Caenorhabditis elegans: one gene and its partner. The protein of the gene in region 1 interacts with the protein of each later gene in a pairwise test. Each region holds a gene or a part of one and is shown in the gene's direction. Other genes may lie near its edges. The genes, in order: C03A3.2 and F52H2.5.

Region 1 (8,010 bases):
GCGTTCCACAGAATCCATAAAATCTATTTTGGAACCGAATCAGAGGAAGAAGTATATGAGGAAGCAAATGATAAGAAGGATGACTGAGAAAGTCACTTGGACGTCATTTAAGTTCTACAACAACAGAAATTTAAAAAAAAAACTCACAAAATTAATCATCTCCTTGTTACTGTCTCCACTTTTGTTTCTTACGATAAATATAATTCTCATTTTTCCTACTCTATCAACTTGTTAATCCAATTTTCTACTCCCCCAATGCCTCAATTGTGTCACTTTTTCTTTTACTGCAAATGTATCGGCTGCTTGTAAAATTTTGTTTACTAATCAAATTATTTAATTTTTTTAAAAAATATTCTATAATATTATTCAGAATTAAACATTTATAATAATTGGAAAATCGACTCGTTTTTTTGCACGTTTTTTGCACATTTTTTTGCACATTTTTTTTTCAAAAATGATGGAAAATGGCTAGAAAAGCTAGGAAGGCTAGCAAGGTGTTGTGTACCGAAGGCGGAACAAGTAGAGAAGACGAGTCGCTCTAACTTTATAAATTAATCTGTCACTCTAACTTTTAAAATTAATCTGTCGTTCTAACTTGTTAAATTAATATGTCGTTCTAACTTTATAAATTAATCTGTCACTCTAAATTTTTAAATTAATCTTTTTTTTTTTTTTTTTTTTTTTTTAGTTTTAAATTTTAAAAAAATTTGACTCCTAACTTTTTATATTTTTATTGTTTTATTGAAGTTCTTGTCATGGTGCATCGAATGTGATATGAGTTTGAAGAAATATTCAAAATGTTTCCAGCTGATTGGAGAAACTTTTCTCTATTTCTCTGTCGAGGAAGACAAGTTAAGTCTAAACGGTCTAGTTAAAAGTCTAAATTGGTCTTCAGAAAAGGGAATTTGTTCGCAGCGTAAACTTAAGTATGTCATTGGTTATTAAGTATGCGGGTGAATAGGCTCACGTGGTCTTCTCTTTGTATTCTCTCAATACAATGATCGAGTTTCAAATATATTTCCTTCTGAAAAGTATAAACTTTTGGCAGCATCAAATTTCAATGCTTTATTGAAATTCCATCATTTATGTTGAGAAGGAAATTTAGTGAGGTGTTTTTTCAACCAATTTTTACCAAAAAAACCAATATTAAACTTTGTATTTTGAAGTTTTCTGTAATTTTTTTTTCTTTTCGACATTTTATTACGTAGGTGAATACCAATTTTAATTCAACTGAAATTTCGAGAAATTCTTTTTAAGTGAACTAATTTTGAAATTATTTAAAATCACTACTTTGGTGCCAAAGTGGCTAAATATCTTGTGAGCAAATTTTATTTTTCCCTAACTTCGACTGAAATTTTCAAAATACCTTAAACATGTTTTTTTTAACATTCAAAATTATAGTTTGTTGTAGAGTAAAAGAAATTAGTTTTTCAACAAGTACAAAAACGACCGTGTATTCAAAAAAGTTATGATTGTTAATTAGCAGATTACCAGAAACTAGAAAAGAACACATACAGAGAAATAACATACATTTTGAACAATAATTTCTTTAAGAGATCTCACCGAAACAACTAAACATGAAAGTTAATCTAAGTAATCCTTTTTCTGTTTATTTCATATAAACAGCCAAACTCAAACACATTATCCTATTGCAAACTACTCACAATATTCAGAGCGCATTACATTTTGCTTTTCATAACACTCTCGACTTAACGCCTTTCATTTTGTCGCCTTTCCACTCCTCGACGCCCTTCCTCCTCTCCAAACACCTCGATTATTTTGAAATGGAAGCTTTTATTGACCTTTGAATCAATAAGACTTTCTCAACAGGGCAAACATAATTTTTTCTCTTTTTTCCCTCATCTTTCTATCATAGTGCTTGTGGTGGACGCGACCCTATGTCTTACAACCAGCTTTAGTAATGTTTTGACATTTGATTTTTGAACAACACTGACCAAATCCGATGGCGAAATACATTAGGTCGTTAGTAATCAAATCAAAATTTTACCTCTTTCTCACTTATTTTATCAGTTAGTGTGGTTTTCAGTTGTATAACAAACATTGTTTTCATGCGGTATGTATGGAGATCAATGGTTTTATCAGCAATTTGGCAAATATAGTTGTGTCTGTTCAAAAAATATATATTCAGACCAAGTTTGCTTACTGAAAACATGTTAGTTTGCAGAACGTTTTTTAAAATTTTGTGTTTTTAGAAGAATTTTTGTGATATAATCAGTTTCTTAGAAATAATAAGTTTTTGCAGTGCAAAAACATTTAAAAAAATATCGATTTTGAGGATTTTGAACTGAAACACTTAAACTAAAACAAAAATTAACAATGTCTATTTTTTTTAACAGATACTTTGCAAGAAAATGTATTTTAAATCAATCTTTCAAATATGTTACTTCTGTATTGAAGTTTTTTCCCCGTATTCCTCTCATTATATTACACTCTCACTCCAAATTCCTCTTTGACCTTTTCCCTTTCGATTTCTTCCTCATAAAATGTTTCCATTTTCATGGCCAGGGGCAAAAGCATTCGGTTTCCCCTACCACACACAGCTCTCTCATCCCACAATTTCTTTCCAACTGAATGAATAATTGGAGTGCGTTAGAGCGCGGTTGCAAAGACAGCTGAAAGGAAAGGGGAATGCCCGCGAAACGACGTGGCCCTTTCACTGTTGTAAACAGACTTCATTCATTTCTCCCTCGCGTGTTTTTTTTTGCGTTGCCCTCTTCCCGTCTCTCTACGCTTTGCGACATCTCTTTTTCTTTTCCATATTAAGCAAGTTTAGTTGATCGCTGCTTTTCGATAACACCATTCAAATGTTTTTTTTTATTTTCCAAAGATCGTTTTTGATGTTATTTCTTTTCATTTAAAAGTTGCCATTTGAAATTAGTTTTTCCCATTGTTCTATTCAGAAAGCAAACATCTAATATTTAACAATTTTCAGGTCGGTGCATGTAGCGATAACGTGATAAGACAACCATCGTTTCTGCTTCATTTGTTCGTCAAAATGCAGAGTAACACAGATTCCAGCACCAGTGGCACTTACAGCCAAACGGTGAGTCATACAATACTGTTTTCTTTTTCTTTTCAAAATAATCAATACATTTATAGGTCGGATTGCTCTATGTATTTAATTTGATTGTCGGAACTGGTGCATTGGCTCTCCCCAAAGCATTTCAAACAGCTGGATGGCTCCTCAGTATCACTCTTCTTACATTTTCCGCGTTCATGAGGTGTGTTCATCAGATAAAGAAAACAAAGATAGTGTTGATAAACAAGATATTTTGTTTAGAAAACAACAGTTTTATGTAAGAAAAACAAAATACATGTTTCAAAAACAAGACGAAATACAATTTTAAAAAAAAATTTAGAATAAAAATACGAGCATTGTCAATAATAAATTATTCATACTTTATAAAAAATTTGCATTAGAATTGAAAAATTCAACGAAAGAGGAGCATATTTTCCCAATCGTTATGTAAGATTTTTGATATCGAAGTAGTAAATACTTACCAAATTATTTTGAATTTTCTAATATTTCAGTTATGTTGCTGCAACATTTGTCATCGAAGCACTTTCCGTTGCCAATGCAGTTCTCTCTAAGAAACGACGTGTTGAATATGATGATGTCGTTGTGGCCGATGGACCATCCACTTTTGAAATTTCAAAGAAGGTTGAAGTGGTAAGTTTTGCAAAATAAATTTAAAATTAGCAGAAACTTTATGCAGAGTGAGATGGCGTCAATGTTCTTGTCAAAAGTTTCGCTTGTGTTCTCCTACTTTGCCATCATTATCTACTTGTTCGGTGATCTTGCAATTTACTCAACTACAGTTCCAAAATCTGCAATGAATATCGTTTGGTAAGCACATTGGTACTAGCTCCTGTCACTGGGAAAACAGCAATATTTTCAAAAATATGTTTTAGATCTAGCTGGTTCACTGCATTAGCTTCATCTGTTTGACTGAACAGTTTCATAAAATTTATAACGACATAAAGCTTGGGCAAGAAGTTCAATACTTATTGCGTATAATAATGATAATATATGTCGTAAGAAACTTGTCAATTAAAAAAATAACATCTTAGATAATGGCGTTCATAGGAAACATATATTTTGTTTCTTTTTAATTTTATAATGCTCATTTTGCTGTCTGTTTCACCAAACACTACACCCCTAGAATCAAATAAAAATAGAAATTTCAGTGCCACGATCAACGCTTCTACAGTTAAATCTAGTGATCCTTGCCACGAATCTTGGCCAGAAATATTGACAAGAATGACAGTGTATCGCTTTTTTGTGATAATTTTTGTTGTCGTCGTGTGCCTTCCGATGGTTATCGCTGGAATCACTAAAACTCGTCACATTCAAATTATGACAACGCTTTCAAGATGGGCGGGTGAGTTAATCACATCCATACAATATAACATTTATATTTATAATTTGAAAACAATTTCAGCGTTTATTCTCATGATTTCCCTAGCAACAATGCAACTCTCTAGCGACGGAGCTGCTGCTCATCCGCCTGCGTACAACTTCCACGGATTTGGATCACTTTTTGGATGTGCCGTATATGCTTTCATGTGTCATCACAGTATTCCGTCTCTTATCACTCCAATGAGGTAAGCAAATAATTTTTTCTCTAAAAATTAACTTACTAGTTAGAAAAACAACAATTAGAAACAATCACATTAACTTCGTCCTTTCAGAACCAAGGATAACGTTTTCGGCAAGATTGCACTTGTGTATGGAGTTGTTGGGGTATTCTACTTCACTCTTTCCCTTACTGGAGCTTTTGCTTTCGAGCATGTTCAAGATATCTACACTCTCAACTTTTTCCATGATGGCAACACATCATTTATCTACTCTATCATTGACTACTTCCTTGCCCTATTCCCAATCATCACTCTCACTTCAAGCTACCCTATTATTGCACTCACATTGATCAATAATTTTAATGTGGTCAAAGACATTTTGTGTCCGAAAGTTGGGTGAGTTGATAATATTGCAACATTTGACATTATCAGTTTGGTTTACAGGCAAGAGAACGAGTCCCTACTCGAGGCGGACAGTTTGGTTGAAGATAACGATACTGATGATGAGCGAGAAGCAAGAAACGCTAGAAATGAGGTTGGAAAAGAGAATGGGATCAAATTATTCGTTTTATTTCAGAAATCGGTATTCGATGTGTTGGTTCCGGCTCTTGTGTTGGCACTTCCTACTTTTTTGAGTTTGCTCACAGACGATATGTTGCTCCTTGCTTCTATTACCGGAAGTTTCCCAGGTAGGATATTATATCATGATACTAATCAATTCCAAATATTTTGTGATTCTGAGTTAGCATAATGCTATCATTTCTAATTGAAGAAAAAGCCAATTATAAATTTCATGAAAAATGTAGTTCATATTTCAATACTTACTGAAACATAAAAACATAAATAAATAAAAATCTGTTACCACCAAAAAATGAGACGGTAATTAAAAATCAGTCACTGGCGAATTTTCGAGCTCGAAATGTACTATTTGTCCCAAACGTTTTTGTTTCAATTCTGTGCGTTTTGGATTTTTGACACCACATCGTAACTGTTTAAACGGCTACCCATTCCCGAAAATCCTCTTTTAACAGCAAAAAATTTGATTGAATCCAGCCCTTACATTTTTCTTTCAAATCTCATAAATGTGTAGTAGATAGGTACATATTTAGGGGACGAAGCATAATGATTATTGTTATACTTTTTGTTGTTGAATAACAATGTTCTGTGAGCTTTTCAAGTACTAAATACAATATTTACAGGTGTCGCTGTTCAATTTGCAATTCCTTGCCTTCTCGTCACTGCTGCTCGCAAACATGCCAGATCTGTGCTTAACTTCCCGGTACCTCGCAAAAACAATAGTCCATTCCAAAGCCCTATTTGGATTGTGCTAATCTCCTCCTGGGCCGGATTCTCCATGATTATGGTCCTCCTGAATCTTGTTGGAGTCAAGTTCTGATTCCATTTTTATACATACTGACTCTCGTTTTATGCACCCTTTTATCAATTTTCAACATTACGGATATACTTGCTTAGTGTTTTCTAGTCGCATTACCCACCCATACCCCTTTGCATTTATTTCTTTTACTCACCTTAACTCATCCGTACTTTGCCACTGGTCATCTTTCATTTCAGCGCCCAAAACAATTAACATTTCATTTCTTTCTCAGACACTCGCAATGCCCTCTAAATTGTGCAATTTCCCAACATTCAAAAATCAAACGTTTTGCATTTAATAACTTAAAAACCAACATTTGCTGTTCGTGCCGCCTAGAACCTAGTCAAGTCACACCATCCTTTCCCGCGTTTATTTTTACTTCAATTTCCGGTCAATTTCACTAAACTGATGTTTTATGTGATGAAAGTGTTACTTATTAAAGGATAACTTTTTTTTAAACAGAAATGTGTATTCAGAAACAGTTTTTTTTCTATTTAATGAGTAAGGTAAAATATCAATTTTGAACCAGAGTTTGGGAAGTGTTTAGTATATGAAACAGTTTGTGATTTACTTTTTTAAAAAATATATTAAATCGGCTTAGGACACAATTGATAAATATATTTTGTCTACAACGCATATTTGTGTACAAAATGTAGTCCGAAACTTTTCTGATTGGCTATGTTTCAATGTCCCATTTTAATCTTCATGTGAACAATTTTCGAACTCATTTTTTCCTTAAATTTTAGGCGTCAAAAACATCACTGTTGAGCCGTAATATACAGACTAATTAATTTTTTTAGCCATCAACATTAGGGGTCCAGCTACGTGCTATGAAATATCAACAAGAATGGATGATTTTAATCTACATAAGTTGCGTTTTGAGATGTTCAATTCTATGGAACTCAATTTTTTTTTGGTTTTCAAACAAAATTTAGCATTTGAATTATTTTTTAGCATTTTTATCATTCAAAAACATAAACATATGTAACAAACTATGAATTTGAATGGTTTCTTGGTCGTCAATTTCATATTGTCAGAATTTCCGCGCGGCTTCTTCAGTTTCTTTCATCGCTTCTCTGATATCAGCTGGTCTTCTGCTTCTCTCCTCTTTTCACAGACACAGAAATCGGATAGGAGAGAATATGGAATCTGCCTGCGCTCAGACCGGATTGAACATTTCGAATCAAGGTCAAACTATGAATGAAGCATCGGACATTCTCAGTTCTCTATTCCTCTATTTTACGCCTTTATCCGCCATGTTCACCGAGCTTTGCACCATATTCGCTACCGTTGAGTTATTATGTTTGATGTATCGACAACTAGACAATTTGAACAATTCGGAATTACAAAAAGACGATGACGGACTAGTTCTGCATAAGAAATATTACCAAGTGGATCGGCAGTCTTCTCCGTTTTGGAATAATCTTTGAATTCGAAATAAGATCGTGATGAAAAGTATGAATATATTTTATTGAACGTCAAAACAAAAAACACATTATTTTACTCAACAATACCATACATATTAATGCACTTGAGTGGCTTTTTCTCTAGCTTCAATCAACTTTCTGACAATGTTTCGTCCAATCACAATCTTCATACTTTTATCTCTTGTTTCGTAACGAACTCCTTCCGCCTCATCAATTCTGAACTGATTAACTGTTTTTTATAGTCAAACTATGTTTAAAGTTTTTTGAAATGAATAAATATTTTTTTCAATTTTGTACCTTAAATGTGTTCCAACATGTGTTCCTGCAATAACAGCCAATAAGAACCTATGATAAAGCTTGAACGTTGGGAGGCAGTTATTATCGGTGTCGTTTTTTGATGCAGAATATCGTACCTGAACAAATCTAAAACATATTCGGCAAAAGTACCCCCAGCTCACCTCAACATCTTGACTTTTCACAAACTTCAAAATACTTCTGACTGAATTTTCGTACTGTCGAATGTCTGTATATTGGTAGCTGTAATCCAGTAATTGTTTAACAAACAATAATAATTTATGACTTACGTGAACATTATATCATCAAAACGGT
Region 2 (6,124 bases), 8.7 Mb from region 1:
GTGGGAATATATGTTATTAGCTACGTTACTTTCAAAAAAATTTGTCTACCCCAGGTTTTCTAGCTCGGACCTAGTTTTTTGAGGCTTCTCCCCGATCTCAGTCTGGGAGTTTTAATCTGTTAGTTTTAGTCTATGAGTTTTCTGTCCTAAATGAAAGAATACAATTTCAATTTTTAATATAATAATTATCAATTGCATAATAATTTCTTAATTTATAATATAATAATTTCAATCAAATTTCAATATATCGAAAAAAAACTGTAAAGTAGTTTATAAAATTTTTCTAAATTTTTTATGATTTTTTTAAATTTTGAAATAAACATAAGAAGGGCTAAATTTTTTTTTGGATTCTCGCGCATATGAGTGACGTCATTTTTGACATTTTTGTGTTTTCCGGCTGTTTTAATAAGTAATAGGTTTTAGCTTCTTTTTTTCATATTTTTTTTTGCTTCATAATTTTAAACGCTGTTTGTCATATATTTTTCCAAACAAAAAAATATTTTTAAAAGTTAAATTATCGATTTTCAGGCCAATTTTAGAGTTTCAGCAGGATCTTTTTGGATTACCATGTTTTCTTTTTGGAAAAATGTCTGAAAAAATTAAAACATCAGGAAAATGCATAAATGTCTAAAATGACGTCACCCATTCACGCGGGAATTCAAAAATAATTCAGTTTTTTTTATGGATAAAATTCGGTATATTGGGACTGTATTCTATTATTTAAGGCAAAAACCACAAACGCAACTTTGTCAAAAAACAATAAAAGTTTGAAAAGTATTCATTTAAAAAAATGTTTTTTGTTTATCGTCAAAAAAAGTTGTTTAGTTTTTTAAACGAATGTTTTCAAAGTGGCTAGGTTAATTTGAGAAACTTTTTGAAACTATCGTCAAATGAAAGATTATAGTGATTGACATAAATTTCCGCAATTTCAAAAAAAAATCTATATGCAATAAGACGCATTCTCACCCCAAATATTTTCAAACTTTCACAATAAATTTCAGATTTTCTGATGGCCCAGACACTCACGATGAAGTCGTCAACCCAATTGGAAGGTGGTACAAAAAATGGTTCTACACTCACGTTGAAGATTTGATCAATAAAAAGCACGAATCCATTGAGTACATTCCACTCCGTGACTACTACCATCGTCACTCAAAGAGCATTTTCTGGGAGCTCAGAGACATCGTCCCATTCGGAAACAATGTCCTGTTTCGTTACTTGATGGCTTGGATGTGCCCCCCAAAGATTGCATTTTTAAAGGCAACAACTCCAAACGTTTTAAGAAAGCTGTACGATCGTAGTCATGTTTTGCAAGATATGCTTGTACCACTGGATAAGTTGGAAGAGTGCATCGATCTTTTTCACAAAGAAGTCGAAGTACGTTTTTCAGATTTTCCATATTTTCTAGCATTGTTTCCAGATCTATCCAATGTGGTTGTGCCCATTCTACTTGAAATCCCAACCAGGTCTCATGAAATTGAGAAATGCTACTCACAAGATGTACGTGGATGTTGGAGCGTATGGAGTAACATCCAAGGATGGTTATCATCACGAGAGAACAACACGGCGACTGGAATCGTTTGTTCGATCAGTCAATGGGTAAAATTTGCCTATAAATTATCACTTTAATAATTTATCGTTCAGATTCCAAATGACATATGCCGACATTTACATGACACGAGCTGAGTACGCTGAAATGTTTGACAGAACACTCTATGATTGGAAAAGAGCATCTTGCAAATGTATCGATGCGTTCCCAGATATTTACGATAAAATTTGCAGAAGTGGAAGGCGTTAAAATTTTTTATTTAAAGGTGGACTATGCGAGAAATGATTAAAAATTAATCCTATGATGTTAAAATGACCAAATATCATTTTTAAAAAAGTTTAAAAGGTTTCACGTTTTGATAAGACATGAAAAATTTTCCAAAACTTTTATTCTGCTATTTGGTGATTTTTGCACAATATCAATGAGGCTTAATCACTTCTACATTGTTCGCAGTTCACTTTTTTGAATTGATAGTCATTGCTCGATTGTTTTTCTCATCTCAATTACTTCATTGTACTGCTTAAATTTTATCATTTTACAGGCTCAATTTTCAGAAACGGCGTACAATTTTTGTTGGTCTTCATTTTCATAAGTTTACAAATCAATTAATTTAACTAAATACATTACCATGCAGAATAAATTTAAAAACAAATTTTTTTAAAAGTTTTTTTTTGAACTGTTATTTCACTTTTTTTCCCCATTTTGTTTTATAACTGCGTGTCTGCACACAATCGGGACCTCCACCCTCTCTGCCGACGCGCAAGTGTTACTGACCCACATTTAGTTTTCTTGGCGCGTTTCTTGTTTTGAATGTTGAACAGTGTTCGAGTACCTCTGTTTTTTCGTTTCAACCTCATTTGTGAGTTACTTTTTATTTCAATTTAGTTAAATAATTAATATCTACTTTGTTTTCGCAGAGTTGTCAATTCAGAAAATTTCAGACACTTCTACGGGTTGAAAAAATGTCGGACGGGTTAATTGACAAACCAAAACTTTTTGTTCAAGGAATGTTCGTGACAAGTACCTCTGGAGAAACTGCTGATGAGACAACAATGTCGAAAATTGACAATATCAGTGAGTTATTTTACAAATGTATTTTTTTCTGTTAAGACTAATTTTTACAGTTACGTATGGTCTCCAGGCAATCGAACATTTCCTAGAAAAAAACGATGGGCAGACTGAGCACTCAAAGTTAGAATACAAACGTGTTGTAGCTGACAAAGAAGTTGAGTACGTTATTATTAGAATTTGGATGAAACTGTTAAGAATTCATTTTTCAGGTGCAATCCAGATGGTGTGAAAATTGTGATTTTCGTGGAAGACATCGAGGTTCCCGCCAAACTGACTGCATTCGCCAATGGTAATCGAGCTGAGATCCACATTCCGAAGAGCAAAATTGACGAACTTTCCGAAGAGACAAATATCGATAAGCTACCAGCTAACGAAAAAGCAGCGTTTGAAATGCTTCTTAATCATTTTCTTCATGAGATGATGCATATGGTGAGTTTTTTCAAATCTTACTATTCTGATCATTTGGTTTAAATGAAAACTTTCCCAGTTTGGAGCTTTCCATTCTGATGTTGGAATCATGTCCGGAGTCATCCAGTTGTTCAATGAAGAAAATCGTATTGACTTGGCCATTTTGTTAGATGATCACTCTGCTCGAATTGTTTCTGAAACCCTTATTGGTCAAGTGCTCCCAGATCCACCAGTTGCAACATTTGTGTATGATGAGAAAGACAGATCGCTGAAATTCGAAAGCAGTGCAGGATTCCACACAGTCATGTTTCTGAACAAGTGAGTTTTTAGTGAAACTTTTCGAAAAATATTGGATTTTTTCAAAAAGTGGCAATTATTGAGTTTTTGCCACTTTTTGAAAAAACTAGAGCACTATCGTATGTTCGATTCCCTGATAATTTTTGAAACACACGTAAGTAGATAATAAAAACGGTATTTTTTTCAAATCGACGGCTTTAAAAAAGTGGAAAACGGAGTTTTTTCCGAATTTCAAAAACTCATATAAAATTTATCACTTTTTTTGAATTTTTAAGTATGAGATTTAGGTCATTATAGGCATTTTTAAAGGCAATTTTCGCTACTCCACCTTCAAAATATTTTTGCTCATTTTCAATAAATTTAAATTTCAGCTCCTACTACACAAATCGATTCTACTATTCCGTTGATATGAATTTTGAATGCATTGTTCCAAAAGATTCGGATTGGGATTCGCTTCTTGTTCAATTTGTCTATGGAGCATCGTTATTCTACAAAAAATCGTCCATTTACAACAATTGTGACTATGACCGCATTCGTCGCCGCTGAGCCAAAAACTACGTTTTAATTTATTTTTCACATGTAAAAACATAATTTTAGACACATAAACCATTTTAACAATTTCCAACTAATTAACCAGGGGTCTGAAAAAAAGAGGCGTTGAGCACCCGCATCTGGAGCAAGTAAAACGTTCCAGAACAATCTAACTTAGATTTTAAACTAAAAATTAGGTTCTAAACATATTCTACTGTTTGTGAAAACCTGTAACTCCGTGGAAAAAAATCTAACAATAAGTAAAAACCTTGTAAATTGCAATTCAACAACTTTCAGGAAAACCGATTATTAGCCAGAATATGTAGAAGTGTTTGAAGTGAGAATATATTTATTATGCCAAAATAATTATGGTTTTTCGCATTTCTACTTGTACGAATTGTCATTGTATTCTTTTATATCGGCGGCAAAATACTGTAAAATTGGGGGGAGGGGGGGGGGGGAAATAATATAGTTGAGATCAGTTTTTCTCGAACTTTAGTAAATAAAAGAAAACAACGAAAACTAAATTGGTGGTAACTGGGGATTGTGAGCGCCGAGAACTGAGAGCTACAAGTTTTTATGACACTATTCCTCTTTGTTGGCGTCGACAACCATGAACAACTTTTGCGTGAAGATCGTGACGGAATCTGAAATTTCCAATTGATCAATGGACTCCAAAAACTGAAATAGTTACCTGTGAGCGAGTCAATGCACTTTGGTTTTCCTTTCCATGCAATGAAAATAAGGTATACAGGGACACCAGACAGCATAATAAGGATTCCAATTGCAGTATCCTTCGGGTTTCCAAGAACTGGGACCAACACAAGAAGCACGCACCCAATGAAGAATATGATTGGGAAAACTATCGGCGCTTTCACAGCTCTTGGAGCATCTGGCATTGTTTTTCTAAAGTAGAAGAGCGCAAGGATGGCTCCTCCAATAGCAATCCAGTAGCTGACTTGAATGTAGTTGATGAGAGAGTAAATGTTGTTGGAGAGAAGAAGGTAGAGCAAGGAAAGAAGTCCCTGTAATTTGAAAAAACTTCAATACTAGTAAGAATGTGCAAAACTTACAGTGAGAATTACGGCTGGGATTGGAGTTTTTGTGGTTTTGTTCACCATGGTTAATACATTTGGCATTTGTCCTTCACGAGCTCCGCAGTAGAATAATCTGAATTATTTTAGTTCGCATTGTGTTGTTTAATATATGTTAATCTAAAACTTAGTCGTAAGTCTTGGTTGATCTTAAAGGATTAATAACGGTTATTGGTTTTTTAAATGTACATATAGACCCCAAATGTGTTCACTTTTTTAAAAATTAATTCATATATCTTTATTGCATTGAAAAAATTCCCTTATTGCAAACGTTTTGATAACCTACACTATTTTTGAAAAGTGTGCTTTTTAAATTATCCTCGAGTTACGTGCAACTTTTTGCATGTTTTTGCGTAATTGATTGAAAATTTGTTGAAATTAATTATTTATATACATCATTGATTCTTTTTTATACTACTCAGGGCTGTGCGGCAACCGGTAACCAAGTTGCCGGTTGCCGAAAATTTTTGGGTTCGACTTCGGCAATTGCCGATATCGGCCAAACATTTTGTAGCTCAGAAAAAAACATTCAGAGAACCTGAAAAATGCTAACGTTTCACTGTAAAAGAAAAAAACGACCATACTTTTTTCCAAAGCGCTCAAAAATATAATTTCAACAAAAAAATTTTCAAAAAAAGGCAATTGCCGGTTTCCAAAAATTTTTTGGCTCGTCAAATTCGGCAATTGCCGGTTGCCGAAAATTTTGGGGTTTTGGGGTTCGGCAACTTCGGCAATTGCCGCTTGCCGAACATCTCGACTGCCGCACAGCCCTGATACTACTTTTAAAAAATCTGTCTAAAAAAAGTTACCTAGAACTTGTCAAAATGACACCGTTTGCCGATCCAATGGTTGAGCAGGCCACAAATATTGGCATGCAGAAAGCAAACCATCCATAGTTCTTCTCCGCGAATAGCTGTAATATTTTTGTCAGATTCTATTAAGGAGCATTGGCTAACTTACAACTGCAACCGCTGGGCTTGCAAGCATCTCATCGGGTGTGATTGACGTGTACAAAGCCACGTTTGTAAGAGTGTAGATGATGGTACACAGTGAGCAAGAGATAGCAATAGAGAGTGGAAGGTTTCTGAAATGTTTCCAAATTGTGAATCGAGTTTTCAAAATGTTACTGGTTTAACGGACCTTTTTGGATTTTGAAGTTCTTCAACAATAAAGT

The links.
Region 2: the proteins of C03A3.2 (region 1) and F52H2.5 interact in a two-hybrid assay, tested with the Caenorhabditis elegans proteins (one large-scale study listed by BioGRID).

The regions. Positions count from the first base shown.
Region 1 is NC_003284.9:11,259,895-11,267,904, forward strand, and holds C03A3.2 (Transmembrane protein 104 homolog), read left to right. Parts: upstream 1-2,953; 5' UTR 2,954-3,016; coding exon 3,017-3,064; intron 3,065-3,120; coding exon 3,121-3,242; intron 3,243-3,552; coding exon 3,553-3,691; intron 3,692-3,737; coding exon 3,738-3,868; intron 3,869-4,209; coding exon 4,210-4,403; intron 4,404-4,463; coding exon 4,464-4,626; intron 4,627-4,713; coding exon 4,714-4,995; intron 4,996-5,043; coding exon 5,044-5,134; intron 5,135-5,176; coding exon 5,177-5,288; intron 5,289-5,798; coding exon 5,799-5,995; 3' UTR 5,996-6,430; downstream 6,431-8,010. Other genes in the region: C03A3.1 (uncharacterized protein), read left to right, coding at 1-87; C03A3.9 (uncharacterized protein), read left to right, coding at 7,117-7,404; C03A3.3 (Metallo-beta-lactamase domain-containing protein), read right to left, coding at 7,497-7,617, 7,699-7,814, 7,860-7,938, 7,986-8,010.
Region 2 is NC_003284.9:2,555,793-2,561,916, reverse strand, and holds F52H2.5 (Peptidase_M10 domain-containing protein), read left to right. Parts: upstream 1-2,371; 5' UTR 2,372-2,408; intron 2,409-2,490; 5' UTR 2,491-2,511; coding exon 2,512-2,623; intron 2,624-2,673; coding exon 2,674-2,779; intron 2,780-2,829; coding exon 2,830-3,049; intron 3,050-3,107; coding exon 3,108-3,346; intron 3,347-3,696; coding exon 3,697-3,871; 3' UTR 3,872-3,941; downstream 3,942-6,124. Other genes in the region: Delta(24)-sterol reductase homolog dhcr-24, read left to right, coding at 1,002-1,377, 1,421-1,599, 1,645-1,798; aat-3 (Large neutral amino acids transporter small subunit 1), read right to left, coding at 4,442-4,503, 4,551-4,881, 4,930-5,026, 5,760-5,863, 5,911-6,034, 6,091-6,124.